Linked DNA regions of Mus musculus. The protein of the gene in region 3 purifies or fractionates together with the protein of the main gene of each other region. This does not show direct contact. Links are inferred from orthologs where the notes say so. Each region holds a gene or a part of one and is shown on either strand. Other genes may lie near its edges.

What was found.
Region 1: the proteins of Iqgap1 (region 3) and Diaph1 purify together in Homo sapiens (affinity purification with western blotting; 3 studies listed by BioGRID and IntAct, with this or other methods). This does not show direct contact. The link is inferred for Mus musculus from reciprocal best matches to the Homo sapiens genes IQGAP1 and DIAPH1.
Region 2: the proteins of Iqgap1 (region 3) and Dvl2 purify together in Homo sapiens (affinity purification with western blotting; 3 studies listed by BioGRID, with this or other methods). This does not show direct contact. The link is inferred for Mus musculus from reciprocal best matches to the Homo sapiens genes IQGAP1 and DVL2.
Region 4: the proteins of Iqgap1 (region 3) and Hectd1 purify together in Homo sapiens (affinity purification with mass spectrometry; 3 studies listed by BioGRID, with this or other methods). This does not show direct contact. The link is inferred for Mus musculus from reciprocal best matches to the Homo sapiens genes IQGAP1 and HECTD1.
Region 5: the proteins of Iqgap1 (region 3) and Actb purify together in Homo sapiens (affinity purification with mass spectrometry; 4 studies listed by BioGRID and IntAct, with this or other methods). This does not show direct contact. The link is inferred for Mus musculus from reciprocal best matches to the Homo sapiens genes IQGAP1 and ACTB.
Region 6: the proteins of Iqgap1 (region 3) and Ctnnb1 purify together in Homo sapiens (affinity purification with western blotting; 3 studies listed by BioGRID and IntAct, with this or other methods). This does not show direct contact. The link is inferred for Mus musculus from reciprocal best matches to the Homo sapiens genes IQGAP1 and CTNNB1.
Region 7: the proteins of Iqgap1 (region 3) and Myl6b purify together in Homo sapiens (affinity purification with mass spectrometry; 3 studies listed by BioGRID and IntAct, with this or other methods). This does not show direct contact. The link is inferred for Mus musculus from reciprocal best matches to the Homo sapiens genes IQGAP1 and MYL6B.

Annotation. Positions count from the first base shown.
Region 1 is NC_000084.6:37,932,677-37,936,653, forward strand, and holds the start of Diaph1 (protein diaphanous homolog 1), read right to left. Parts: upstream 2,801-3,977; 5' UTR 2,643-2,800; coding exon 2,526-2,642; intron 1-2,525. UniProt on the Homo sapiens protein: Actin nucleation and elongation factor required for the assembly of F-actin structures, such as actin cables and stress fibers. Binds to the barbed end of the actin filament and slows down actin polymerization and depolymerization.
Region 2 is NC_000077.6:70,003,592-70,007,091, reverse strand, and holds part of Dvl2 (segment polarity protein dishevelled homolog DVL-2), read right to left. Parts: intron 2,288-3,500; coding exon 2,218-2,287; intron 1,938-2,217; coding exon 1,792-1,937; intron 1,656-1,791; coding exon 1,546-1,655; intron 1,431-1,545; coding exon 1,295-1,430; intron 1,155-1,294; coding exon 1,064-1,154; intron 957-1,063; coding exon 887-956; intron 802-886; coding exon 662-801; intron 579-661; coding exon 502-578; intron 1-501.
Region 3 is NC_000073.6:80,800,532-80,804,770, forward strand, and holds the start of Iqgap1 (ras GTPase-activating-like protein IQGAP1), read right to left. Parts: upstream 2,801-4,239; 5' UTR 2,665-2,800; coding exon 2,610-2,664; intron 1-2,609. UniProt on the Homo sapiens protein: Plays a crucial role in regulating the dynamics and assembly of the actin cytoskeleton.
Region 4 is NC_000078.6:51,746,380-51,749,536, reverse strand, and holds part of Hectd1 (E3 ubiquitin-protein ligase HECTD1), read left to right. Parts: intron 1-525; coding exon 526-1,133; intron 1,134-3,157. UniProt on the Homo sapiens protein: E3 ubiquitin-protein ligase which accepts ubiquitin from an E2 ubiquitin-conjugating enzyme in the form of a thioester and then directly transfers the ubiquitin to targeted substrates.
Region 5 is NC_000071.6:142,903,955-142,907,972, reverse strand, and holds the start of Actb (actin, cytoplasmic 1), read left to right. Parts: upstream 1-1,218; 5' UTR 1,219-1,321; intron 1,322-2,280; 5' UTR 2,281-2,286; coding exon 2,287-2,409; intron 2,410-2,496; coding exon 2,497-2,736; intron 2,737-3,190; coding exon 3,191-3,629; intron 3,630-3,724; coding exon 3,725-3,906; intron 3,907-4,018. UniProt on the Homo sapiens protein: Actin is a highly conserved protein that polymerizes to produce filaments that form cross-linked networks in the cytoplasm of cells.
Region 6 is NC_000075.6:120,932,142-120,936,199, reverse strand, and holds the start of Ctnnb1 (catenin beta-1), read right to left. Parts: upstream 2,801-4,058; 5' UTR 2,562-2,800; intron 1-2,561. UniProt on the Homo sapiens protein: Key downstream component of the canonical Wnt signaling pathway.
Region 7 is NC_000076.6:128,495,886-128,499,837, reverse strand, and holds the start of Myl6b (myosin light chain 6B), read left to right. Parts: upstream 1-1,152; 5' UTR 1,153-1,210; intron 1,211-2,420; 5' UTR 2,421-2,466; coding exon 2,467-2,637; intron 2,638-3,196; coding exon 3,197-3,224; intron 3,225-3,441; coding exon 3,442-3,585; intron 3,586-3,952. UniProt on the Homo sapiens protein: Regulatory light chain of myosin. Does not bind calcium.

The DNA.
Region 1 (3,977 bases), on a different chromosome or scaffold from region 3:
AGAGGGTAAAGGGCAGATCCCAGACAATAGATAAGCTCTGTTACTTCGGGCTGCCTGGACTTAGAATCTGCATAAGCCAGAAAGGTATGAACTGCAGTCCTTCAAATGCAAACCACCCGCTCCGAAAGGTGTGGTTGCAAGCAGCCTGAGGGGCTGCAACCACTCAAAGACAAAGCTTCAAGCACCCTTAGTCCAAGCCCGAGGGTTTTTATAGCACACTCAGAATGGGCGTGCTGGCGGATACTGCACAGGAGGAAAGGTGGAGTAGGCGAAACAGCTTTGAGTTTGGATTTAGCCAGTAAATTCAGGGAACCGGAGCCGGGGTAACAGAAGCACCCCAGCAATCTCACCCACTCCACCCACTCCCACACGTGTGCACACACAGGGACAAGGAGACGAAGACTGCAAGGCTCCCTGTCTCCCACTTTCATAGCTCTCATAAAAAGCAGTGAGAAAGACTATCCTCACGCCTGAAGGGAGACTGTAGTTGACAATTAGGAATTGAAGCAGCCGGCTTTCCTGGAAGCGGTCCAACTCTCATAGCTTGCACTACCTACTTTCAAAACTTCAGTCAAGGTAAGGGTTAAAACCAGAACCTCAGTAAAAGAGAACTAGGTTCAGCTCCACCCTCTGTACAGCAAATAACAACTCTGGGCCAAATCCACTCAGCTACACAAGCCTCTGTGACATGCCAAAAAAAAAAAAACAGGTGAAAAGAAGTTGGGTTCCCTGGGAATTCTCGCCTTACAGGGAGAGTTTACTTAAGTAGATTTTTACCAATTTATAAAACACTGTGTTAGATCTAATTAAGAAGCACATATAAAATTTGAAACAAAGCAAACAGTAACAAGTCACAGAGGTCATCACAAATCAGCAAGAATAGCCAGAGTTTGGATGGAGAAGGTCAAACAGTATCCATGGCAACAAAATCAAAACAAAAAAATACAGAAATAGAAGAAATACAGGTCCTACAACTTACACTATAGAAGGAAAGTTGTGGAAGGAAAACGTTCGGACTGGAAGACTAATTCTTATTACCCTTAAAGAAAGAACCTAAGGATATACTGCTCTGGTCGCCAAAGGATCCTATTTCTACAATAGTACTTGCTGGATCAAACAGTTACTGACACCCTGTATGTCACTGGAAAGGACAGACTAGGAGCACCTGGTCTTGCTAGAAATAGGAAGAGATGAGTCACTCTTTTAATTCAGAATAATATGCTCTGAACCCTGCAGGTCACCAAACACTTTCTTCCCATTATCCATCACTTATCAGTTACTTCCCAAACTTGTGGACTTGGATCAGAATATTGGGGGTAGGGGGAGGCATAAGAGCTATAAGCCATTTAGTTGGTCAAAAAGATTACTATGTTACCTGGAAGGCCAAACTAAATATCTAGTTAACAATAGGCAAATAGTTACACAGAAACTATTTCTTTCTCTTCTTCCCCCCCCCCAGTCCCCCCCCCTTGGTATCTTTCAAAGCTTTTACAGTAAGAGGTAAGTAGCTCCCTGGATAGAGAGGACAGAGGACTTAGGAACGGCAACAGGTAGTAAAACAGCTCACATGAACATCAACAGTCCCTCGGCCTGGGGTTAGAAGTACTGGGCACTAAGGAAAGATTCGCTCTCTCCTACAGGTGGTAGGAAAAGGAATGTCAGGAACCTTGGGGCCCAGAAGATGGTAAAGGATAAGTTGAGAAAATGGTTATTTTTTTTAAAGTGTATAAAAAGCAATTAAATTACTCATAAACTTATTGGAGTTGAAGTCTAAGTCGCTCCTCAAGGGGGAGGTTTAATCACCATCTCGGGTCATGAAGGGCATAGTATCTTGAAAGAAGTTCTAACCCTCTGAAGTGATAAGCAACAGGGCAAAAAGAAACAGGTTTTGTGGATAGGGAAGCCAACTACAGCCATGCCCCAGTGACCAACAATCACAAGGACAAACGTCCAAAGAAGGAGGGGAGACGAGACTCAAGTCAGGTAACATTCCTGAGGGGAAGCATTACCAGGTGACACCGGGCAGAAGGGGACAGGGCGGGAGGAAAGTTAGCAGGTGAAAAGGATTACTAGTGAGAAAGGAAATGACCTTTTAAAAGAAAAAGATACCTCAAATGGGATATGGGTGAGAAGAGAACTTAGAACAGCTTACAGGGGTGCAAAGAGGAAGAAAGAAAAAGAGAGAGAGAAAAGACGTGTTGGGGTACCAGAGGCAGAAGAAGAAAGGAAGTGGGACTGAGAGCCCGCGGGGGCACGGGGACGGGAGCGCAGAGCCTGCGGACTGAACAGCGAGGGAAGCTCCAAGGTGGCCGAGGCGAGGGCCAGGTGGGACATCCAGGCTGCCGGATGTCCCGGAGGGGGAGAATGTGGGACCGCGAAGCCCAGGAGCCAGCAAAACCAGGAAGGGAGGCGCGGGGGCGGCTCCCCAGCTGCAGGCAGACGCCCCCGGAGGGCAGCGAGGGTCGCCCGAGTCCAGAGGGCGGCCACTCCGCCAGGCTGAAGAGCAGGGTGGGAGGGACACTCACAAATTTCTTATGTTTGCCGCCGTCGCCGCCCGTCGCAGGCAGCTCATCCGGGCTCCGACCCTTCTTCTTGTCCCGGGTACCGCGGCCGGGCCCCAGGCCCCCGCCGGACGGCTCCATGTCCTGGTTAGCGCCGGCAAGTGACCCCTTGTCTACGCCGCTCGCGCCCGGCTGCCCCGAGCCAGCAACCACCGCCGCCGCCCAGCAGCCTTCTTAGCCGGCCGCCGCGCCCCGCCTCATTAACATGCTGGGCTGCGCGCGCCTCATGAATATACAACGGTGACGCCTCGCTCCCGCCCGCCTGCCCCACTTCCGCCCGGACCCGCAGCCCCTACCAATGGGGGAAGGGAGGGGGGTGGCGGGACGCCGCGGAAGCGCGCTACCTGCCCGGCGGGCCTAACCATTCGGACCCACGTGTGGGGGGTGAGATAGAGAGTGGGCGGCGCTGCTCTGCCAGGCCACAGCGGGGAGTACCGCCCCCTGGCGGTTGGAACAGGGTAGACCTTTAGGCTCCCACGCAGAAACCCACGTGGCTGTAAAGCTAGACCATCTCATGCTCCAGCCAGAATTTTATTGTCTGAACCAGGACGCTTATCGTAGAGACACTTTTATCTTGGTTGAAAATTTAAGGCTTTTTTTTTTTTTGGTGGGATAATGCAGTTTTTATGTATATGATGCCTGTGCAGTGAAAAATGTGAGAAGTTACCTGATGTAGAAAGAACTGAGTTCCAGCCAGCGCCAATTCCAGCTGGAGTTCATTGCCCAGCTCTGAATCCTAGACTAGCTTTCTAGTTGTTTCTTAGATGGGCAAACCAATTATTGCCAATAGCCTAACCAGCAATTAAATAATTACTACATGTTGGGCACAAACTATAGGCCAGGCCATATGTTAAACATGACATGTTTTTCCTCACTAAATCCTCACAATTTCCTCATGGAGTCTACTGGTATCACCACTAAAGAAATTTGGACTCTGGGAGTTGCAGTGACTTATAATTGATAGAAATTTATACAGATTAATCTGACATCCACGTGTTTACCCAGGATTCCCCACAAGCATTAACCAAACATGCCCAAGAGTACTCTGGGTATGGTCTTTATATGATCTCTCCCCTCAGCAATGCCATCCATTTTCCTGACTACATCTACCTAATGTGGGGCCTTCTAGTATGAACTGAATAACCCTGAGGTCTGAAGGAAAGGATTGCAAGTGTATATTTCTGATGACAGGGTCAGAAGTTTTTGGAGTCTCCAGTACTTAGCTAATATCAGGGAGTCTACTAACTTTGCTGTCTCCTACATCTGGCCTTTATCTCCTGTTTCCAACCTTCCAACTGCTGGGTGAGACGGTGCATAGAGCTGTCCAGCTCATCTTACTGCAGACTGTCCAGAAGAATTCCAATGCTGAGTGAAAAGACAGTGAGCTACCTGTCACTCCTTTCTTGTACCACTGAC
Region 2 (3,500 bases), on a different chromosome or scaffold from region 3:
CACAGTGGGTGGCCTCTTCTCAGGTGCTCACCCACATCTGCTTCATGCTCTAGTGTGGAGTGACATGCCAGGGAGATTTGCAATTTGTGGGTTTTGTTCTCTTTTGAAAGACGTATTTGTTTTTTTTTATGTACGTGAGTACACTGTCAGTCTCTTCAGACACACCAGAAGAGGGCATCAGATCTCATTACAAATGGTTGTGAGCCACCATGTGGCTGCTGGGAATTGAACTCAGGATCTCTGGAAGAGCAAACAGTGTTCTTAACTGCTGAGCCATCTCTACAGCCCTTGTTTTGTTTGGTTTTTGTTTTCTCGCTATGTAGACCCGGATGGACTGAAACTCACTCTGCAGACCAGGCTGCCTCACACTCAGCCCAACTGTGCCTCAAATAACATGTTTAAAGGCATGCACCACCATGCCTGGCCTCACGTCTTTATAAAAATTGCAAAACAAAGGTAAACAGGCTTAAGCCCAAGAGGCCTGGGGCCAGCCGCACTCACCCTGGCTTGTGCACGATGTCTCTCAGCACTCGTACAGCATCGTCGTTGCTCATGTTCTCAAAGTTCATATCATTTACCTGAAGGGAAGGGGTGGTGGGTCATGGGCAGTGTGGGAGGGGCAGAGCATCCGCCCCAGCCAGCAGCCAGGCCGTCAGCGCACCTGCAAAAGCATGTCTCCAGGCTCGATCCGCCCGTCCGCAGCCACCGCGCCCCCTTTCATGATGGAGCCGATGTAGATGCCCCCATCACCACGCTCGTTACTTTGGCCCACAATGGAGATGCCCAGGAAGTTGTACTTCTCTGTGGAGGGGGGCCATATGACTGAGCCCCAGAAACCCCAAGCCCCTCTCTCTCCTTCCCTTCTCCCCGTCAGGACCCTCCATACCCATGTTGAGCGTGACCGTGATGATGTTGAGAGACATTGTGGAATCGGTGACACTGCTGAAGGATGAGGTCTACAGCGGGGAGACATGAAAGGTGTGAACTGCTCCCCGTCAACAGAGAGAGAAGCCACAAGCTTGTGTTTCAACCAGAGCCCACTTCATCCCAAAAGAACCCTCACCCTCTCCATGCGTGGCGGCCGCTGCTTCCTTCGCCTTCGGTGGCGCTTGAGGAGGCGGGAGGCACTGCTCTGCTCAGTGGAGCTGCTGAACCTGATAGCAATTGAGAAGCATAGCATTTGGAGGTGGAAGTGGTCAGGGAGCCACATGAAACAAGAAGACTGGCTGGGGGGGAGGGGGAGGGGAGGAGGGGGGAGGAGGGAGGGAACAGGGAGGGAAGTGTGCAGCCATACCTACTCATGGTGTCATCCTCATCCGAGTCTCCTAGGCTGGTACTCTCCAGCTCACTGGTCATGAGGGTGGAAGAGCTCTCGTAGCCAGCCAGGTGGCGCTCCAGCCTCGAGGGGCCACCAGGCCTGTGGCCACCAGCTGTGTATAAACAAGAGACTCAGGAGCCAGGCCTCCCCTTCTTCATACCCAGCATGCTAAGGCTTGCCTGTCTGCCCAGCTCAGTCTACCCTGCCTCCAGGGTCCATCCCCTCACCGCCATGTTCACTGCTGTCTCTCCTCCTAGGTCGGTCTCGCCTCAGTGATACGACAGATTCGGTCTCTGTCTCAGGCTCTAGATTTTCATGGCTGCTGGATACATTAGGGCTACACAGGTAGAGAGAGTTTCCAACCAAAGTCAGTCGGACAGAGCACCGGAACCTCAGTCCCCCTCTCTCAAGAGGTCTAGACTGAATTCCCTCTTCGCTCCCATCCCCTGGACTCAAGAATATAAAGGACTCACTGGAAGGATGGAGGCCTTGAGTCCCCAATTCCACTGGTCCTTTCTGGTGGCAAAGGGGGTAAGGGTGGAGGCGGAGGAACCAGTTCTGTCCGAGACTCATGGGCTGGGGGAGCCACCTCAGGCTGTGGGGTATCTGACGACACAAGCTAGAAGAGAGCACGTAAGAAAACATGGTTCTGCTGGGGAGCGGTGTACGAGAAGAAACTAAGGAAAAGGACCAGAAAAGAAGGACACAGGGTCCTGGAGACCTGGGTGAAGAGGCCAGAAAAAACAATCCAGTACGGGAGGCTATAGGAAGAGGAGGCCGAGGAGTGCTCACTGTATCCACATTAGAGAAGAGGGAAGCCAGGCCACCCGCGACTGAGCAGGGGGGAGGCTGCAGAGACAGACTGAGGTTGGAAGCAGCTCAGTAATGAGTCCCCTTACCCAGGAGACAACCCTTCCATTGAAGCAAGGTAGGCGGGCATTGTCATCGGAGATCTCTTCCTTCACCACCCTGCGGAGAGAGCAGAGTGATTAGTAAGGTGCCAGGTGTGATGGGGTACACCTTCAACTAACACTTGGGAGGCCGAGGCAAGAGGCACTCAGTGAGCAAGGGTTTCTCTTGCGCGCACACACACACACACCACACACACACACACACCCTAGATGGGCGGTGGTGGTGCATGCCTTTAATGCCAGCACTCTGGAAAGCAGAGGCAGGTGATCTGAGTTTGAGGCCAGCCTAGTTTACAGAGAGAACCAGGACAGCCAGGGCTCCACAGAGAAACCCCATCTGGGGGTGGGGGTGGGACAAACACGGGGATGGGGGAGATTAGTAAAGCTAAACTAGTCACTCCCATTCCAAATCTCATTCCAAGTCTCTCCCCATCTCCATCCTGCCCAAGCATGGTGACTTGCTGCCCTGACTGACACGTCGTCTGCTTTTCCCCTAATGTATATGTACATGTCTGTGTGCATGGCTGTCACATGAGGGTATTTGCAGAGGACAGGAGAATATTATCTCCCCTGGAGCTAGTTACAGGGAGTCAGGAGCCACCAGTGGGTGCTAGTGCTAAGAACAGAACACAGCGGCATCCTCTAAGCCAACTGTCTATAGACTTCTGCCCTTTTTTTTTTCAGCAGCGGTAGCGACGACCAGGCTGGCTTCAAACTCACAGAGAGCTGCCTAACTCTGCCTCTCCATCCTGGTATTAAAGGCATATGTCACCAAACTTGGCTATGCCACTCAGCCAGCATGCATCACCATGCCCAGCTCCTCTGCTTTCACAGTGAAGTAACTTGCTTTTATACACAAATAAATAAATAAAAATTCTAGACTCTCTCATTTACCACTACCCCAACTCATCCTTAGAGGCACAATGCCACTCCAAAGACTTCTTCCCATTTGATCCAAACCTCAAAGTACCACTCCAAAGTCCCTTTGGGACAGTTCCCACAACTGCTCCAAATATCTAATTTAAGAGCCTGGCTGGCCGCCTAACCATCTCTGTCCTACACATCTGTCCCATAAAAGCCTCTGGTCCTCACGGAACCTGCTGCCTTTGAGTTCTCTCTAATTCACAAGCAGAGCCACCCAAATGTGTGGCTTTTCTGGGTAAAAAATCACCCTTACATGCAACAATAACAGTCCACGTGTGGAACGCTCCCATGGAGCGAGGAAGCTGGGCTTCCCAATTCCGGGCCACCTCACCTCACTAAGCAATCTG
Region 3 (4,239 bases):
TGGACAGTCAAGATACGCATACACACAGGGACAGCACTAGCTGAACTTAGTGGGGTTTTTTTATTTTTTATTTTAGAGAGCCTAGGGGCTGGAGAGATGGCTCAGCAGTTAAGAGGATTGGCTGTTCTTACAGAGGACCTAGGTTCAATTCCCAGCATGCACACCACAGGAAGGCTCATGAGTTATAACTCCAGTTTCAGAGAATCAGACATTCTCTTCTGGGCTCTGCAGGTACCAGGTACACACATGGTGCACAGACATTATGCAAGCCAGTAAATCACCCAAACACATAAAAGAATTTCCTTAAAGAAAAAGATCCAGGTGTGATAACACAAGCCTGTAATCCCAGCATTTGGAAGGCAGAGGCAGGCAGATTTCTGAGTCCAAGGCCAGACTGTCTTAAACAGTAAGTTCAGGTCAGCCAGAATTATACAGTGAGATACAGTTTCAGATAAATCACTGGAGGGAAGAGATAGGAGATAGATATGATCACATTTCATTTTTTATATTATGAAATTCTCAAGGAGTAGACTCAGTGGTCAAGAGTCAAAACTGCTCTTGCAGAGGTCCTGAGTTCAGTTCCCAGCAACCACATGGTGGCTCACAGCCATCTATAATGGGATCTGATGCCCTCTTCTGGTGTGTCTGAAGACAGCTACAGTGTACTCACATAAAATAAATAAATAAATAAATCTTTAAAAAAAAAAAAAAAAAAAAAAAACACATGCTATGTGGGGCTGGCAAGATGGCTCAGCGGGTAAGAGCACTGTCTGCTCTTCCAAAGGTTCTGAGTTCAAATCCCAGCAACAACATGGTGGCTCACAACCACCCATAATGAGATCTAACATCCTCTTCTGGTGCGTTTGAAGACAGCTACAGTGTACTTATTTATAATAATAAATAAATCTTTGGGCCTGAGTGAGGGGTTGATCAGAGCGAGCAGAGGTCCTAAAAAAATCAATTTCCAACAACCACATGAAGGCTCACAACCATCTGTACAGCTACAGTGTACTCATATACATAAAATAAATAAATAAATCTTTAAAAAAGAAATTATCAAGGAACCAAAATTTTAAGTGTTTTAAATATATATGTACTACATTTTCTTGTAGCTTCAAGAGGCATCAACTATAGTCTATCCTTGTTGGTCACACTCTCCCCTCTCTTCATAACCGAAGCTCCTGGACTACACAGTTTACACACATGCTCCTACTCTAGCCCAGACCCATCCTGTGATCACCACTATTTGACAGCTGAGGATACTGAGGCTGGAAGAACTCAGTCAGAGGGCTAATCAAGGGCCTTTGCAGCCCACCTGACTCCAGGGCCTGTGGACTTTACCTTGTAGCCATCTGCCTTCTCCACTGTCTTCCCAAGGGATAACTCCTTGGGAAGGCAATCAGAGCTATTCTCACTCTAGCCTGGGCTACTTCGGGAAATCCTTTTTACTTTTCTCCTCTCCCTTTCAATTCCACCTCTGCACTTCGATGCCCTCGGTTTTCCACGTACAGTAACCCTATGTTCTCCAATACCATATTTAGTTTGTGTCTGCCCTCTCAAAGTCATGTCTTGCTCACCCTGCCCCACACTGCATCCTCCAAGCCTCTGTTTAAAAGTCAGCACCTACCTTCCCATGGCCTTGTTAAGTCCCTTCTCTTCACCCCCATTACTCTTTATACCCAGTTAGAGTTAGTTCATGCATCGTTTATCTTTATTGCACCTTATTGGTTTTTTTCTTGGAGCTGAGGACTTGCACTTGCTAAGCAAGCACTCTACCACTGGGCTAAATTCCCAACCCCTCATCTAATTATCAATCTCTGTACACCTGTCTCTTTCTCGGACAGGTTTTGAAGGCACTGTTTGATCTTTTTCATCCCTAATTTCACAAACGTAGCACACATTATAACACTATCCAATGCATAACTGGATGTGTTAAAGTATCCTTTAAGAAAGTACTTTTCCCAAAACATAAAATCTAAACCTGGGACTCAAAGGGATCCTCTTGTAACTACTATCCCACGTACAGCTGGTTAGTTTACTAAGGTTGCAGGGATAGTCACAGAAAATGAGGAAGTGGGGGGAGCCGGTTTGGGTGTGTTTATGTTTTAATTTTACTTTTGAAATGCTAAAGAAAGAACCCAGCAGGAGAAAGCATAAGCTGCTTGCCTAAAACTGCACCTCGCAGCTAGCCTGAGGCTGCGCGGGTCTGCGCCCTGGGTCACCCTCGCAGGCAGCAATCCGGGCAGCACCTTCCCACCACGCCCGAGCAGAACCCCTGGGTCCAGTGCCCAGGACACGCCCTGCACAGTCAGTTCTCCTGCCACCTCACCCTAGGCCGTCTTCCCCAATCTCAGTAGAACTAACCGGTGGAGGAGCTGGGTGGGGCTCCCCTGCCGCAGCGCCTAGCGAAGGCAGAGGCCTCCAGGTTTCTACCCGCCGCCTCCGGAGCTCGAGAAGGCTCGGGCGCCAACCTTGCTACCAGCCATACAGCCAGCTGCTCTTCCGGGTCCGTGCGGTCCCAAGCCACCCGGCGCACCCGCCCGGCTGAGCCCCTGGGAAAACCCGAGCTTGGTCCCTCGCCCGCGCACCCCCAAGCCCTCGGCACTCACAGCCATAGTGCGGCCGGACCACACCCAGGCCATCAACCTCCTCCGCGGCGGACATGGCGGCCGAGTCCAGGTCTCCGGTGAGGAAGCGCAGAGACCTTGAAGACGCGGGCGACCGTAGCAGCAGTAACTCCTGCCCAGTGCGCGGGCTGTCGCTGTCCTCAGAGCCCCGCCCCGCGCCATCGGCCCCACCCTGCAGGTCCCGCCCCGCAGACCCCGCCCTTGAGTCCACGCCCAGCTGCGCTCCCCGGAGCGAGCGGAAGGGGCGTGGTCAGTATTACAGGACCCGCCCCTGCCCTCTTCGCTCTCCACTTGCGGAAGCGAGGAGGCGGGGTGCTGTAGCGAGTCCCTAGGCCGGCTTGGTCCGTTGTCCCGACACTCCTCCGCTGTCGCCCTATCTGCGGCTCTGACTAAAAGGCCGCCAATGTCTACAGCTTGAAATCCAAATGTTTTTAGGCGCCTGCCTTCTCCTGACAACTGAGTTAACCCCCTCTGCACCGCGGCTCCTTCAAGGAGCCGTTGCAAGTGGCCCAGAGTGTGATTATTGGAAGCAAGTAGGACCCACTGTCAGGAAAGACTCCCACTCCTACTCTCTGCTACATTCTGTCAATCTGACCTCTGTTCTCCCCAACAGTGCTAAAGAATAGAACTGCTCAATCTCTTAAACTGGGGGATGACGATGCTCACGCGGAAGAGCTGTTTATCAGCTCTTTACAATCTGCAAGATCTTAGGGGGGTTATCTTGACCCTATTAATAAGGATGCCTCGTCTCTTTACCCTTGTGATCTTTTAAAGTGCCAGTATTCAACCGAATTCTATTCTGAACCAGCCTGGATTGGAGTGAATCACTGGCTCTAATAATAATAATAATAATAATAATAATAATAATAATAATAAAGTAAAAGTCCCATTCTCAGGACTCTTACCCTCACCATAAACAGTTGATGGCTTCTACTTACAATCCAGACCATCTAGAAGCCCCTCAGTAGTTCCAAACTATCTAACGTGCATTTTTGGACCTCTCACAGACACTAAAACCTGTCAAACGTTGATCCTGTTCCTGCCCCACTCTCTGGAAGTGTTCCATCACCAGTCACACACACACCCCAGGTTCCTCGACTCACCTCTATTTCTGAAGCATCTAGTTTTGTTTCTGTCCCCACCTGTGATAACACTTTTTTGATCATCATAATCTCTATTCTCACTTGTGCCAACCAGATCATCATGATTGCCAGCATGCTCTTTCCAAAGTACGGAGTTCTTTGGGAAGGGGGACAAGTCTCACTATGTAGTTCTGGCTGTCCTGGAGCCCACTAAATAGGCAAGGCTACCCTTGAAGATCCACCTGTCTCTTCCTCCTGATTGCTAGAACTAAAAGCATGTGCCACCACACCCAGCTTCCGAGTTCTTGTCATAGATGTAATTTTTCCTGTTACTCCCTTCACAGTGCAGTTTGTGTACTTTCCCATGCCAGGTGGGCACCTTTACAACCCAATTCCAGGCTCTTTGTTCCAGCCATTTTCAATTTACTAGCTCTTTCCTTACAAACTTTCTTCTTAGTTGGGCATGTTGAGGCACGACTTTAATCCCAGCACTCAGGAGACAATAGCAGGCAGATCTCGGTGAGTTCAAG
Region 4 (3,157 bases), on a different chromosome or scaffold from region 3:
AACTCAGGTGACTTTAATGGTAGTAGCTCTTACCCAGCTAGACAGTTGGCAGCCCTAGTTATTGTTTTTTGGGGACAGGGTATTAATATTTGCCCAGGTTGGCCTCTACTTTTATAACTAAATAACCTTAGTGCCATTAAAATATTTCTAAAGGAGCTTGACGCGGTGGCGCACGCCTTTAATCCCAGCACTTGGGAGGCAGAGGCAGGGGAATTTCTGAGTTCAAGGCCAGCCTAGACTACAGAGTGAGTTCCATGGCAGCCAGGGCTATACAGAGAAACCCTGTTTCGAAAAACAAAAAAAAACAAACAAACAAAAAAAAAGTGTGTATATATATATATATATATATATATATTTCTAAAGGATTAAAGTTGGTTTCCAAATTAATTAACATGCATGCATCTTCAGATGACAAAATTTGAAAAGATGTTTGATGTTTGTGATTCTTTTGTATGGCAGTTGGGAGGTTTGGTTACTATCTTATTTACTTGGCTATGTATTAATGTGTCGTTTTCCTTTGTGAAGGTTGATCTTGGAGGTGGATTGAAGCCTCCAGGATACTATGTACAGCGGTCATGTGGACTGTTCACAGCGCCATTCCCACAGGACAGTGATGAGCTTGAAAGGATCACAAAACTCTTCCATTTCCTTGGGATTTTCTTGGCCAAATGTATTCAGGACAATAGACTGGTGGACTTGCCTATCTCTAAGCCTTTCTTTAAACTTATGTGCATGGGCGACATTAAAAGCAATATGAGCAAACTAATCTATGAGTCCCGCGGCGACAGAGACTTGCACTGTACTGAAAGTCAGTCGGAAGCTTCTACAGAAGAAGGCCATGACTCCCTCTCAGTGGGAAGCTTTGAAGAGGATTCAAAATCAGAATTTATCCTCGATCCCCCTAAGCCCAAACCCCCAGCCTGGTTTAATGGGATTTTAACTTGGGAAGATTTTGAACTAGTAAATCCTCACAGAGCCAGATTTTTAAAAGAAATTAAAGACCTTGCTATTAAGAGGCGCCAGATTCTAGGCAATAAAAGTCTTTCTGAAGATGAGAAGAACACAAAGTTACAGGAACTCGTGCTCAGGAATCCATCAGGCTCGGGACCTCCACTGAGCATCGAGGACTTAGGGTAAGAGTTTGTGTACATTCTTCAACCTAACAAATGAGGAAAGCTAAAGGTTTCTGTTTCTCTGTCCCTATGAATCTGTAGGCTGTCAGTGAAGTCTAGGGCAGCGATAGACTATAGCAAATGCTGATTGTCTGTTTGAATATGTATGGCTTCTTTGGTATGATACTTTGCTAGTGTCTGTAAGGCCCTGGGTTGGGTCTCCAACACCGCCTAGAACCTAGCCTGGGGACATATGACAAAATCCCAGCGCTGGGAAGGCATAGGCAGGAGAATCAGAAATTCAAGGTTATCCTTGGCTATATAGAAAGTTTGAGGCCAGCTTGGGATACATAAGACATTGCTTAAAAAACAAAAAACAACAACAAAAAAACAAGATGAAAACATTAATCATTTTATTTTGGAAGGATTATCTGATTTTTCAAATATGATATATTGTGTGTTGTATACAAAAATTCAAAGCCAATATTTGGGCAACTTACATATCATGTAAAGGTCAAAAATGATTGGCATTTATTTATTTACTTACTTATTTATTGGCTCTATCAGCCAATAAATGCTACAGCTATTGATAAATTTCTTTCCTGTATATATAATTGTTATACCTTCAAGTACTGTCATATATTCTTTTTAATGTTTCCTAGTGATTGTAAGAAACAGTGTTTGGTTCTGCACTCATGCTACATGAGTGTTTCAGTCATAAATGGACCACATAAACAAGGTTGCTACCATACAATTAGCATGGATTTAAAATTCTGCCACTTGGTCTCTTCGTCATCTCTTTCCTATGTTAATCTTTTTGTTGAAGGATTTATCTCATGTATATGAGTAATTTATCTGTATGTACACTTGCATGCCAGAAGAGGGCATCAGATCATTGTATAGATGGTTGTGAGCTACCATGTGGTTGTTGGGAATTGAACTCAGGACCTCTGAAAAACTGGACAGTGCTCTCTCGAGCCTCTGTTTACCTGTTTTTAATCAGGGACAGTTACCATTGTAATACACTTGTCTACAGTATTCAGCAAAGTAACATGCTGTACAGGTTTGTGGCTGAGCAGTAATGCTTTGTCATGGAGTCTGTATGTGCAGAAAAATGTATCATCTGTATTTGTTTAAGTACAGCTCATGTTTGTACGACAAAAGAGTTGCCTAGGACTGGAGAGATGGCTCAGCAGTTAAGAGCGCAGTCTGCTCTTCCAAAGGTCCTGAGTTCAAATCCCAGCAACTACATGGTGGCTTGCAACCATCCATAACAAAAAATCTGATGCCCTCTTCTGGAGTGTCTGAAAACAGCTACAGTGTGCTTACATATAATAAATAAATAAATAAATATTAAAAAAAAGAGAGAGTTGCCTAATGGACACACTTCTAAGATTGTGTCCATCATTAACTGTTAGATAACTGCCAGCTGTGGTGGTGTATGCCTTTAAACTGAGAACTGGGCACTGAGGCAGGGAAGTTGCTGTGAGCTCAGTGACCCTGTGATCTGCATAGTGAGTTCCGGGTTAGCCACCAGGGAACATAGTGACATGCTATCAAAAAACAAAAAAGTATTAGATAAACACATGTTAAAGGACTTTGTTTTTCCATATATATACACACACACACACACACACACACACACACACACCACACATACATACACTTTGTATAACTGTGAATAATGAAGCAATAGTTTCTTCTCAGGGAGAAAAGCCTTGTAAACATTCTCCTGTAATAAGTCATTATGGAAATCTTCAGTTGAATAATTTTTTTTTCCTTAAAGAAAAAGTGATTCATGGCAAACTGTGTTTTTATGTAGTCTTTGCAGAGCCCAGAAAGCTTGCAAGCAGTTGTCTTAATAGTTCTATGCACAAGGTTTTCGCCCTTAACGCTTCTCCAAGCCCTGCCTTTGAGCTCCAGCATGTCAGATAAATAGATAAGAAAACAGAGGGAGGCCAGATTTACTCTAAGCTGCTGTTCAGGTTTCTGTTGGTGGAGCGCGGGGCATTTATGGTTTGTTATAAACACTGACGGCTGCTGAA
Region 5 (4,018 bases), on a different chromosome or scaffold from region 3:
ACTGAGGCACGGCAGGCCCAGAGCATCTCACCTGAAGCACCCTTCTTGCCTAAATCCAGCTTTCTGTCACACTCTCCCAGAAGGTGCGTGTCCTTCTAAGCTAAGCTGAGGGATCCGGCCCTCAACCCTGACCCCGTGTGTAGCTCTCAGCCAAATAGCTGGCTTGCTAAGTAGAACACTGGTACTTAGGTGAGGGGGACAGGGGCTGCTTCTCTCTGGAGGATTTGGGGCTCCGGTGACCACCAACTTTTCCCTGAGCAGCTTGTCACTCCCAGAATCCCCACGGCTGGCAGATGGACTAGTGCACAACTCAGCTGTGGCTGCACATAATAAATAGAGGATAGATGGTGGGCCCCAGCCCAGCGATGTCTGGCAGTCACCCAGAGACACTAGCTAACGGCCCAGGCTTAGTCTTGCCTGGGTGTGATCAGGCAGTTCTCCAAAAGTGCCTGACTCCATGAGAAGTTTTGTTTGTTCTATTGAGCACAGTTCCTTTCTAGATCCGGGGCAGGGGATATCTGGAGGCATCTTCTTGCAACACCTCCAGTTATTGGACCACTGGGGCTCGCCCTATGCTTGGGATAGGATGGCCTTGAGTCTCTAAGAGGTCAAGATCCATGAAAACCTCTCCAACCAGAGTTCTGCTTCCAAGTTGAACCCCAACACACCTAGCAAATTAGAACCACAGCAGAAGGGGCCCCCCCGGATCTGGCTTTCCGGCTATTGCTAGCAATTGCTAGCAAGGGGGAGTGACTCTCTGTCCATTCAATCCAGGCCCCGCGTGTCCCTCAAACAAGAGGCCACACAAATAGGGTCCGGGCCTCGATGCTGACCCTCATCCACTTAAGTGCTCGATATCCACGTGACATCCACACCCAGAGGGTCCTGGGGTGGTTGGGTGACCCCCAGAATGCAGGCCTAGTAACCGAGACATTGAATGGGGCAGTGTCCACAAGGGCGGAGGCTATTCCTGTACATCTGGGCCTACGGAGCCAGCACCCATCGCCAAAACTCTTCATCCTCTTCCTCAATCTCGCTTTCTCTCTCGCTTTTTTTTTTTTTCTTCTTCTTTTTTTTTTTTTTTTTCAAAAGGAGGGGAGAGGGGGTAAAAAAATGCTGCACTGTGCGGCGAGGCCGGTGAGTGAGCGACGCGGAGCCAATCAGCGCCCGCCGTTCCGAAAGTTGCCTTTTATGGCTCGAGTGGCCGCTGTGGCGTCCTATAAAACCCGGCGGCGCAACGCGCAGCCACTGTCGAGTCGCGTCCACCCGCGAGCACAGCTTCTTTGCAGCTCCTTCGTTGCCGGTCCACACCCGCCACCAGGTAAGCAGGGACGCCGGGCCCAGCGGGCCTTCGCTCTCTCGTGGCTAGTACCTCACTGCAGGGTCCTGAGGATCACTCAGAACGGACACCATGGGCGGGTGGAGGGTGGTGCCGGGCCGCGGAGCGGACACTGGCACAGCCAACTTTACGCCTAGCGTGTAGACTCTTTGCAGCCACATTCCCGCGGTGTAGACACTCGTGGGCCCGCTCCCGCTCGGTGCGTGGGGCTTGGGGACACACTAGGGTCGCGGTGTGGGCATTTGATGAGCCGGTGCGGCTTGCGGGTGTTAAAAGCCGTATTAGGTCCATCTTGAGAGTACACAGTATTGGGAACCAGACGCTACGATCACGCCTCAATGGCCTCTGGGTCTTTGTCCAAACCGGTTTGCCTATTCGGCTTGCCGGGCGGGCGGGCGGGCGGGCGGGCGCGGCAGGGCCGGCTCGGCCGGGTGGGGGCTGGGATGCCACTGCGCGTGCGCTCTCTATCACTGGGCATCGAGGCGCGTGTGCGCTAGGGAGGGAGCTCTTCCTCTCCCCCTCTTCCTAGTTAGCTGCGCGTGCGTATTGAGGCTGGGAGCGCGGCTGCCCGGGGTTGGGCGAGGGCGGGGCCGTTGTCCGGAAGGGGCGGGGTCACAGTGGCACGGGCGCCTTGTTTGCGCTTCCTGCTGGGTGTGGTCGCCTCCCGCGCGCGCACAAGCCGCCCGTCGGCGCAGTGTAGGCGGAGCTTGCGCCCGTTTGGGGAGGGGGCGGAGGTCTGGCTTCCTGCCCTAGGTCCGCCTCCGGGCCAGCGTTTGCCTTTTATGGTAATAATGCGGCCGGTCTGCGCTTCCTTTGTCCCCTGAGCTTGGGCGCGCGCCCCCTGGCGGCTCGAGCCCGCGGCTTGCCGGAAGTGGGCAGGGCGGCAGCGGCTGCTCTTGGCGGCCCCGAGGTGACTATAGCCTTCTTTTGTGTCTTGATAGTTCGCCATGGATGACGATATCGCTGCGCTGGTCGTCGACAACGGCTCCGGCATGTGCAAAGCCGGCTTCGCGGGCGACGATGCTCCCCGGGCTGTATTCCCCTCCATCGTGGGCCGCCCTAGGCACCAGGTAAGTGACCTGTTACTTTGGGAGTGGCAAGCCTGGGGTTTTCTTGGGGATCGATGCCGGTGCTAAGAAGGCTGTTCCCTTCCACAGGGTGTGATGGTGGGAATGGGTCAGAAGGACTCCTATGTGGGTGACGAGGCCCAGAGCAAGAGAGGTATCCTGACCCTGAAGTACCCCATTGAACATGGCATTGTTACCAACTGGGACGACATGGAGAAGATCTGGCACCACACCTTCTACAATGAGCTGCGTGTGGCCCCTGAGGAGCACCCTGTGCTGCTCACCGAGGCCCCCCTGAACCCTAAGGCCAACCGTGAAAAGATGACCCAGGTCAGTATCCCGGGTAACCCTTCTCTTTGGCCAGCTTCTCAGCCACGCCCTTTCTCAATTGTCTTTCTTCTGCCGTTCTCCCATAGGACTCCCTTCTATGAGCTGAGTCTCCCTTGGATCTTTGCAGTTTCTGCTCTTTCCCAGACGAGGTCTTTTTTTCTCTCAATTGCCTTTCTGACTAGGTGTTTAAACCCTACAGTGCTGTGGGTTTAGGTACTAACAATGGCTCGTGTGACAAAGCTAATGAGGCTGGTGATAAGTGGCCTTGGAGTGTGTATTGAGTAGATGCACAGTAGGTCTAAGTGGAGCCCCTGTCCTGAGACTCCCAGCACACTGAACTTAGCTGTGTTCTTGCACTCCTTGCATGTCTCAGATCTATCCATACAGTTTCACCTGCCCTGAGTGTTTCTTGTGGCTTTCTGAACTTGACAACATTATTTATTTTTCTCTACAGATCATGTTTGAGACCTTCAACACCCCAGCCATGTACGTAGCCATCCAGGCTGTGCTGTCCCTGTATGCCTCTGGTCGTACCACAGGCATTGTGATGGACTCCGGAGACGGGGTCACCCACACTGTGCCCATCTACGAGGGCTATGCTCTCCCTCACGCCATCCTGCGTCTGGACCTGGCTGGCCGGGACCTGACAGACTACCTCATGAAGATCCTGACCGAGCGTGGCTACAGCTTCACCACCACAGCTGAGAGGGAAATCGTGCGTGACATCAAAGAGAAGCTGTGCTATGTTGCTCTAGACTTCGAGCAGGAGATGGCCACTGCCGCATCCTCTTCCTCCCTGGAGAAGAGCTATGAGCTGCCTGACGGCCAGGTCATCACTATTGGCAACGAGCGGTTCCGATGCCCTGAGGCTCTTTTCCAGCCTTCCTTCTTGGGTAAGTTGTAGCCTAGTCCTTTCTCCATCTAAAGGTGACAAAACTCCTGAGGCCATAGTACAAGTTAAGTCTGATTTCTGTCACTCTTCTCTTAGGTATGGAATCCTGTGGCATCCATGAAACTACATTCAATTCCATCATGAAGTGTGACGTTGACATCCGTAAAGACCTCTATGCCAACACAGTGCTGTCTGGTGGTACCACCATGTACCCAGGCATTGCTGACAGGATGCAGAAGGAGATTACTGCTCTGGCTCCTAGCACCATGAAGATCAAGGTAAGCTAAGCATCCTTAGCTTGGTGAGGGTGGGCCCTGTGGTTGTCAGAGCAACCTTCTAGGTTTAAGGGGAATCCCAGCACCCAGAGAGCTCACCATTCACCATCTTGTC
Region 6 (4,058 bases), on a different chromosome or scaffold from region 3:
GTTGCTGAAGAGCAAGCATCGCAGGGCTGCCTAACATTCCTCAAGCTGCGTCCTCTCAGGACAGAGGCTGCCTCCACAGGCCTCAGAACTGTAGCTGCTCATCTACTTTACTCTCTGTGGCATGAAGATGTCTTCAGTGAGATTGTTTTAAATAAAAAGGAGTTGACAGGGGCCACAAAACAACAAAAGAAAATGGAGTTAAAATGTTTGTACGTTTGCAAGGTTTTTACGAGTTTGTGAACACCGTTTCAGGAGTTTGTCCCTCGGGTTTGCTTCTGGCCAAGGACACTAAAAATTTACCACTAGGTGATGGGCAGAGACCACGACCTGGCCTCACCTCACCTCACCTCAGCACTGATATTTCAGTTGACTCCATCTACTTTCACTGTCCACTTCCTGCTTAGAAGTACAGCAACAAACGACTGTAAATATACCACTCCACTCCACTCGCCACCTGCAGTGTGCACAGGCTCTTGTCCATGCTCTGCCCTGAGTTTATTTGCAAAAGGGCTCCACCAGTTTTCCTGAGCACACATTTCAAAATACACTCCGACTAAGAAAGTTCCCCATCCTCCACCTTGGCGGTGGGATTCTGGGATTCTGAGACTCGTGAGCTAAGGCTTCACTCACAGTCTCTAGTCCCATCGTCACTACAGCAGTAGATACTTCCCTTCAAGCTGGAGACATAGATACCCAATATACAGTCTCTAAACTAGTGTTCTCAATCTGGGGGTTCAACAACCCTTTCACAGGGGTCACCTAAGACCGTGGGAAAACATTTACATTATGGTTCACAACAGTAGCAAAGTCAGTTGTGAAGTAGCAAGGAAAGTTTTACGGTTGGGGTCACCATAACAGTTGAGAAACTATTTTAACAGGTCACAACATCAGGAAGACTGACTGAGAAGCACTGCTCTAGACTATGAGAAATGATCACATGACAGTTAAACTCTATTTCTTCACGCCTGCATTCGATTAAATGTTTCCCTATCTGAAGATAGTCTTTTTACAGACTGTGAGGCCCAGGACTCTGTCCCAGGCAAGCTAAGCTTTCCAGATAGCCTGCTTCCTTAATTAAGGACTTCAGCCTGGGAGGGTTTGTTGTAGAGAAACATCTGCAAGTTTCCAACTTCCTTGCCACCACTAAAGGCCTTGTCCAGACTCGGCCTTGAGGACAAAGGTTAGGTAGGTCACAGAATGACTATCCCCAGTACCATCAACAATGTTGTCCGCTGTGAAAGGGCGTTCTCAAACAAACCTTGGAGGCACTTCATTTTAATTTCGGGGATTTCTGAATGTTTAAGGTGAAAGTGAACTAAATGTAACTGCGGGCCTTAACTCAAAGTTTGAGCCGGACATACAAAACCGAAATACAAAGGCCACAAGCTTAAGCAACATTAAATTAGAACCAAGAAAGCAAGCTCTTTCCCGGGACGAGGAGAGACTGCACTGAGACATCTGCAAACCTCAAGTAAATAGCGAAATGGCTTCCTAAATCCCAGACAAAACGCTTCACAACTTGGCCATGTGAAAAACATGAGGCAGACTTTATCAAAGGCAAAGCTGCCGTCTCCTCAGCTTGCTGTCTGGTCTAAGCCACCATTATTCATGGCACAAAGCTCTCGTTTCACTAAAACCACTCCTCGATTTCCTCTCGCCGACCTCCGCATACCAGCAGCCCAGCCGCTCTCCATTCAGAGCTCAGGCCCCGGGAGGGGGGCTGCGGGGGGCGCGGGGGAGGGGAGCCCACAGATGTCTGGAGACCCGAGCCCGAGACAAAGCTGCCCCGCAGCCAGCGGGCTCACCGGAGCGGGCCTGGGGTACCGAACTTGGGAGCGTCGGTTCCAAGTCTGGTCCCCCAAACAACACTCAGAACAAGTCGCCAGGCTCCCACGCCCTGGCGGTCCGCGCTCCGGCCACTCCGTCTCGCTCAGAAAGCAAACGCGCTGGGGAGAAACACTTGGAGCGGACCCCACACTTACTGGCTAAGGGCAAGTCCCCCTCCCCCAAGCCCAGGTTTCGGATCCCGCGCACCTCCCCCCCCCCCCGCCTCCAACACCAGGAGTGGCCGGTGACTCGTCCACGGTCCCAAATTCCCGCCAGGACCTCGGCCCCGCAGCCACCAACCCCACGCGAGTCCAAGAAGCCACCCTCCGAGAACACGCTCCTGACGCATCCCGCCCGCTGCATCCAAGTTTGGCGACTCCACGGCTTAAAGTTGTTTGGATTCAAACTCACAGTCAGGTCGTTGCAGGGAGAAAAAAAAATTTGTCTGTGCGTGCTCCACGAGGGACAGAGGGGACGAGCGCCAGGTCTCGCGTCCCCCCGGCTCCGCGGGCCACGGAGGCGAGGCCCCCGCCCACCCCGCCCCCGCGGCGGCCCCAGCCCGGACGCGAACCGCGGTCCCCACCCCCCACGGCGGCCAGCCGTCCATCCGGGCTCCCGGCGCGCGCCCGCCCGGCCCCGGCCCCAGCCCGCGCGTCCCCGCGGCCTCCCGCCGCCACCCGGCCCGCGAAGTTTCCCGCTGGCGCGGCGCGAGCCGGCCCGCCGCGGCGCCGCACCTCAGGCCCGCGCGCTGCTCACTCGCGGCCGCCCGCTCGGCCTCGGCCTCCTGCACTGACGGCTCGGCGCCCACCGTGCTCCGTCTCCGCCTCCCCGGGCCGCGGGCTTCACAGGACACGAGCTGACGCGGCCGCCACCGAGCGAGGGCTTAAGATGGCGCCGCACAAGGAGCGATTTATAAGCGGCGCGGCACCGTGTATCCTGCCGCTGCCGCTCCGCGCGGAGCGTTCCGCCGCGCGAGGACGAGGGGCGGGGCGCGGGCGGGCCGGGGAAAGTAGTCCCCGCCAGTCCGAGTCGCTCTGCGCGTGCGCCGCCGGGAGGGGCCGAGCCGGGGCGGGGCGTCCAGACGCCGCTCCATTGGAAACTAAAGGAATCGAGAGCGGGCCGCCGCCGCGGGCCGGGTGGAGTGCGGCCTCGGACGGCGCAGGTTCGAGGCTGCCATCACCGGTGCACCGGCCGCCACACCCCTGAACCACCATTGGACCCCACCACACTTTACCGCTCCCAGGAGTGTCCCGCTTCCCTTCCCGCTGTGCCTCTGGAATCCGGACAGGGAACCTGGGGCCCAGCCACCTTTCCTCCCCACCCCAGGAGGCCTTGGAGTCCCCAAGAGTGTCTGCGAACATCTATTAACAAGTGATTCAGCTCCACCACTGCGTTCACCAGCGTGATTCCTAGAAACCCCATCTTACCCAGACTCACTGGGTCAGTAGAACCAGGCGTGGGGACCAAGGACAGCGATTTTTCTGTATTGTTTGAGAAACTCGAGTGTGTTGCTGAGAGGACCTGTGGGTAACCTCTTAAATTTTCAAAACTAATTTTGTATCCTTCGAGAGCTCCCCCCCCCCCAAATCATGACAATAGGGTGAAGTTGGATCTTCTCTTGGAAATGGCCCCATTGTTGTCCTTCACGATTGGCACTTGTCAAAACTGGAGCAGTTGGGGTGAATTGGCTGTCTCCAGCCTATTATTCTGAGCTCACGTCTCTTCCCAAACAATGGCAACAGGGAAAGTTGCCCCACTGCCTTCTTTCATCCCAGCGCTGTAATTAACGCAAGTAAACAATAGGTCCTTATGTACAGGTACTGGCAGGAAGCCCATGCATCACTGAGGCAGGGCCGGTGCTGTAGGGCCAGCTTAGTTTTTAAATGACTCAATTTTCTATCTTAAAGACATATCACCGTAACTCTGTGAACCACCACAGTCCACCATGCTGGAGCTGCTCAGTGAGGGCCTTTGTCTAGACCTTTCCCCTCTGCAGCTCTGCTCGGATTTCCGGAGAGTAAACTCTGCTGCTGGCTGGGGCTGACTTGGCCTGCCATAACTCAGAGAGATAGAGCAGGAAAAGGTATTTTACCAAAGCCCTACCAGTGGTGGTTGCAGCTACCAACCCCTAATTTTAATTGTCACATGCAGAGTTAAAGAATATTTGGTCGATTCGTTTAAAATTAGATAGCTGACTTCACCTCTGTCCGGGGTTTCCTTTCTTTTCTTTT
Region 7 (3,952 bases), on a different chromosome or scaffold from region 3:
CTTATTCACTGTTGTTTTGAGTCTCACTGTATAGCCCAGGCTCGTTTGTCCCCCCCCCCCCCTCACCCCCCGACTTGGGATTACATTTGTGTTATCACCAAGACTGCTTTCTTGTTCTTGCTTTCTAGTTTAAGACAAGCTCTCAGGCGTCCCTTCCCTTTCTGCTCTGAAACTGGATCTTATGTAGCTCAGGCTGGCCCGAAGTCCCTACGTCCCAAAGACATCTGATTCTTCCTGTCTCCACCTCCTGAGTGCTGGGACCCAGAGCTTTGTGCAACCAACTGTGCTACATCCCTTGCACCCGTACAGACCTTTTTACTCAAGCTTTTTCCAGCCGGGGAATGTCCGTTTCAGGGTACAAAATTGGCTTGTGCCTCATTCTTCCTATGGCGCCGCTGGGAGTCTTCTACCCTGAGCTATTTCTGGTCCACTTGCTTGCACAAGCTCTAGTATGAGGCGCGCCGCCAGAGTTATTTATTCGTCTGTTTCGGGACGGTGGGCCGGTTCCCTCTCTGCACTCAGACATTTGCTAAACTCCAGGGAGAAAGTGCAAATACTCAGGCTGGGCAATGGTGTCGGAAAGGTAAAGAAGGACTGCAGAGCCCAGCGTTGCATTTGTTGGGTATCTCGGGGGGGGGAGACCGCGGTGCATTGGCGGCCTCAGCAGACGCCTCCACAAGGAGGAGAGTGGAAGCAGATGGCCAGGCTAAATTGTAAATCTTAACATCTACTTCAGTCAGTCTTTCGACCACTATCAAATGTGAAATAAATAAATAAATAAATAAATAAATAAATAAATAAATAAATAAAACGCAAAACTCTGCCAAGTTACACCATTCCGCAGCTAACAGCCTGAGGAAGCCCCCGCTGCCGCCCCGCCCACCGCCCGGCCCCTCCCACCGCCCGGGCCGGCCCCGCCCCTAGCCTTGCGGGCGTCTGTGGGTCTGCAGCCGCAGGGTCATGGGTGGGGACAGCTCAGGCCCTTTCAATTCCGGAACCGGCGCACGCCTCAGGACCTGAGTCACCAACTGTCACCAGGGGCCGGAAGTCACCACCAACTCTCACGGCTGGGAAAAGGTTTCCTGTGAGCCTGCGGGTGCTCGCGGACTACGACTCCCAGCATGCTCTGCGGCAGCCGCACTTAACCCTTCAGGGACAGGAGCTGCCCTGAGTCCCGCCCCCCACCTGCCCCTTCCTCGGACCCGGCAAGGTGAGTTTTGAGGGGCTGGGAGGGTCTTTTTCCTCTCTAGGGCTTAGGAGTGAGTGAAAGTGAGGGAAACGGGCGTTTTGTTTAGGAAGGATTCTTTATTTTCCAAAAATGGGACAATTTGCAGTAAAAAGATTCTGACGCCCTTTTGCAAATGGGAGACCCACTGCTACTCTGCGAACTCCAGGGCCTAAGTGGAATGACCAGTCTCTCAGAATGCCATGTAATTCTTCTTTATCCAAGAACAGAGTAGCCAGAACCTCCTAGCTCCCAAACATCATCTTTTCCCTTCATCAGCGCTTCCAGCAAGGTTTGTGACTCAAAGCTCAGCTAAGGTTTTTGATGTGATCCTGACCAATGGTGTGTCCGTGTGGATACCTATGAACTCCTTTGGAGGTCCTGTAACCTTTTGGGTTATTAGGGGGCTCTTTGTCTCCCAGGGCCCCCTCCATGTGTGTGTGTGTGTGTGTGTTCCCTCCATGCTCACTAGGCATTATAGCCTTTTGTTTGATTTGAATAACATTGTCTTGTTGAAAAATGTTCCTTCTTTGGAATTATGTGTGACAGATGTTAAGCCTTGCCTACACTGGAACCCCTAAACCAACATTAGGTATAGAAGTCAGTGGGTAATAACACGCTCGAGTTACTGTGCATAGTTTAAGGTTGGGGGTAGGTGGGGGCCCAGGGATTACAAGTTCTAAGGATACGGGAAAAGACAGAAGGGAGTGCAAAGGCCTCCTCTCACCTTTTACTGTTTCCAGAACAGATTTTAAAACTTCCCACCTGATACCAGCCCCCCACCCCTCTACCCCGACTCCACCCCAAGCCCTTGCTTTGCTTGGGCTTTCCCACGGTCTAAAACTAATGCAAGTTTTTGTTTGTTTTTCTACTTTAGTTTTCTTCTTTCTCCCCTTAGCTCCTATCTCAGAATCACTGGCAAACATCCTATCTTCACCCTGGAGGTTAACAATCCCTATTCTGACAGGTCTCGTGTTTCTTCTCTGTACCCTTAAAGAAAACATTCTATTCAGCTGTAGGAGAGTGGTATCAGAGGGAAGAAAACTTTGGGGGCAGGAGTCCTGAACCATAGGAGGCCAGGGGAGTGAGGGCAGACAGGCATAAGTCTCTTCCCCCTCACCCTTGCCAACTGGCTCCCTGTCCCTGCTGCTGCCCCCGCCCCTTGACATCCCAGACTCCCTGCCTATTTAAACAGAGATGGGTGCCCCCATCAGCACATTGTTCTTTGGCCACCTGACATCATGCCTCCCAAGAAGGATGCTCCCGTGAAGAAACCAGCAGGGCCCTCCATCTCTAAGCCTGCTGCCAAGTCTACACCAGGGACCCCTCTAGCCAAGGCCAAGGCTGAGCCGGCTGCCCCCCAGGCACCTGCAAAATCCCAGGAGCCCCCTGTTGATCTCTCCAAAGTGGTGGTGAGTCCTGGGGAAGTGTGAATCTGGAAGGGATAGTTCAGAGATGCGGTGCAGCCTTGGGTATCCGGGAATATGTGGAAAGGATAGGGAATGAATGAACGCTGGAATGAGGTTGGGGCTCCCAGGTCAGGCCAGTTTCCGAAGTGAAGGGAGAGGGGTGCTGTCTGCCTCTGGCTCTTCTGTTCAACTCAGAAGGCTACATCTCTGAACCCCAGGAGGGGAGACTGAAGAGGGCAGGCTTGTTAGACAATCACAGCTGGGGGCAGGGGTAAATTTAGCCTTTGTTCAGCCCCCAGTTATGTGAGGGATGCAGGACTCGGGGTAGCAGGAGGGAAGGGAACAGGTGGCATGGGATTAACCCTGTTCCCAAGAAACCCTCCCCCTGTAATTCCTCTTGGGATTCTCCCAAGGCCCAGAGCTGGGGACAGGACTGAAGTGGCCCGGCTCCCCGCCTTCATCCCTTTGGGTCCCTCCCCAGAAGTGGCTGCCAGTTGGTTGTGATAGAGAGGGACTGAATAAGCCCTGTCATCTCCTCACCTGCCCTTTTTGTCCCCTACAGATCGAGTTTAACAAGGACCAGCTGGAGGGTGAGGAGAAGCCCATTTCCTAAGCCCCATTGTCAAACCCCAAACTCCTGGTCAGATTCTCTGTTCTAACGACAGTCCTGACCTTGAAACCTCCCACACTTGTCCTGTTCTCCTCCCTCCCATGCCTGGCTCTAGCACATGAATTTCTGAAGCAAACCTCCCTCTCTCTGTTGGTGATGGGGATCCTTGGTCACACTGCCTTCTCCTTACATCTCAGAATTCAGAGAGGCCTTTGAGCTGTTTGACCGAGTAGGTGATGGCAAGATCCTGTACAGCCAGTGTGGGGACCTGATGAGGGCCCTGGGCCAGAACCCTACCAACGCCGAGGTGCTCAAGGTCCTGGGGAACCCCAAAAACGAGGGTGAGAGGAGCCTTGAGTTTTGTGGGGGTTTCTGTTTTCTTCTTGGTGTTGAACGTTGAATACAGGGTTCTGCCTGGGCCATTGAGCTACATTTCTAGCCAGCAACTTTCTCTTCTTCCTCTTTTTCTTCTCTCTCTCTCTCTCTTTCTTTCAAGATAGGATTTCAGTATCCCAGCCAAGAATGACCTTACATTCTGATTCTCCTATCTCCACCTCTTGCTACTGCCCACTAGAGTGGTGGGATTACTCCAGTTTATGTAGTGCTGGGTTGAATCCAGGGCCTCAGGCAAGCCAGGCAAGCCCTTATTACAGAGGTACTGTTTTTTTTTACTTTTTGAGACAGGTGCTCACCAAATTACTCAGGTTG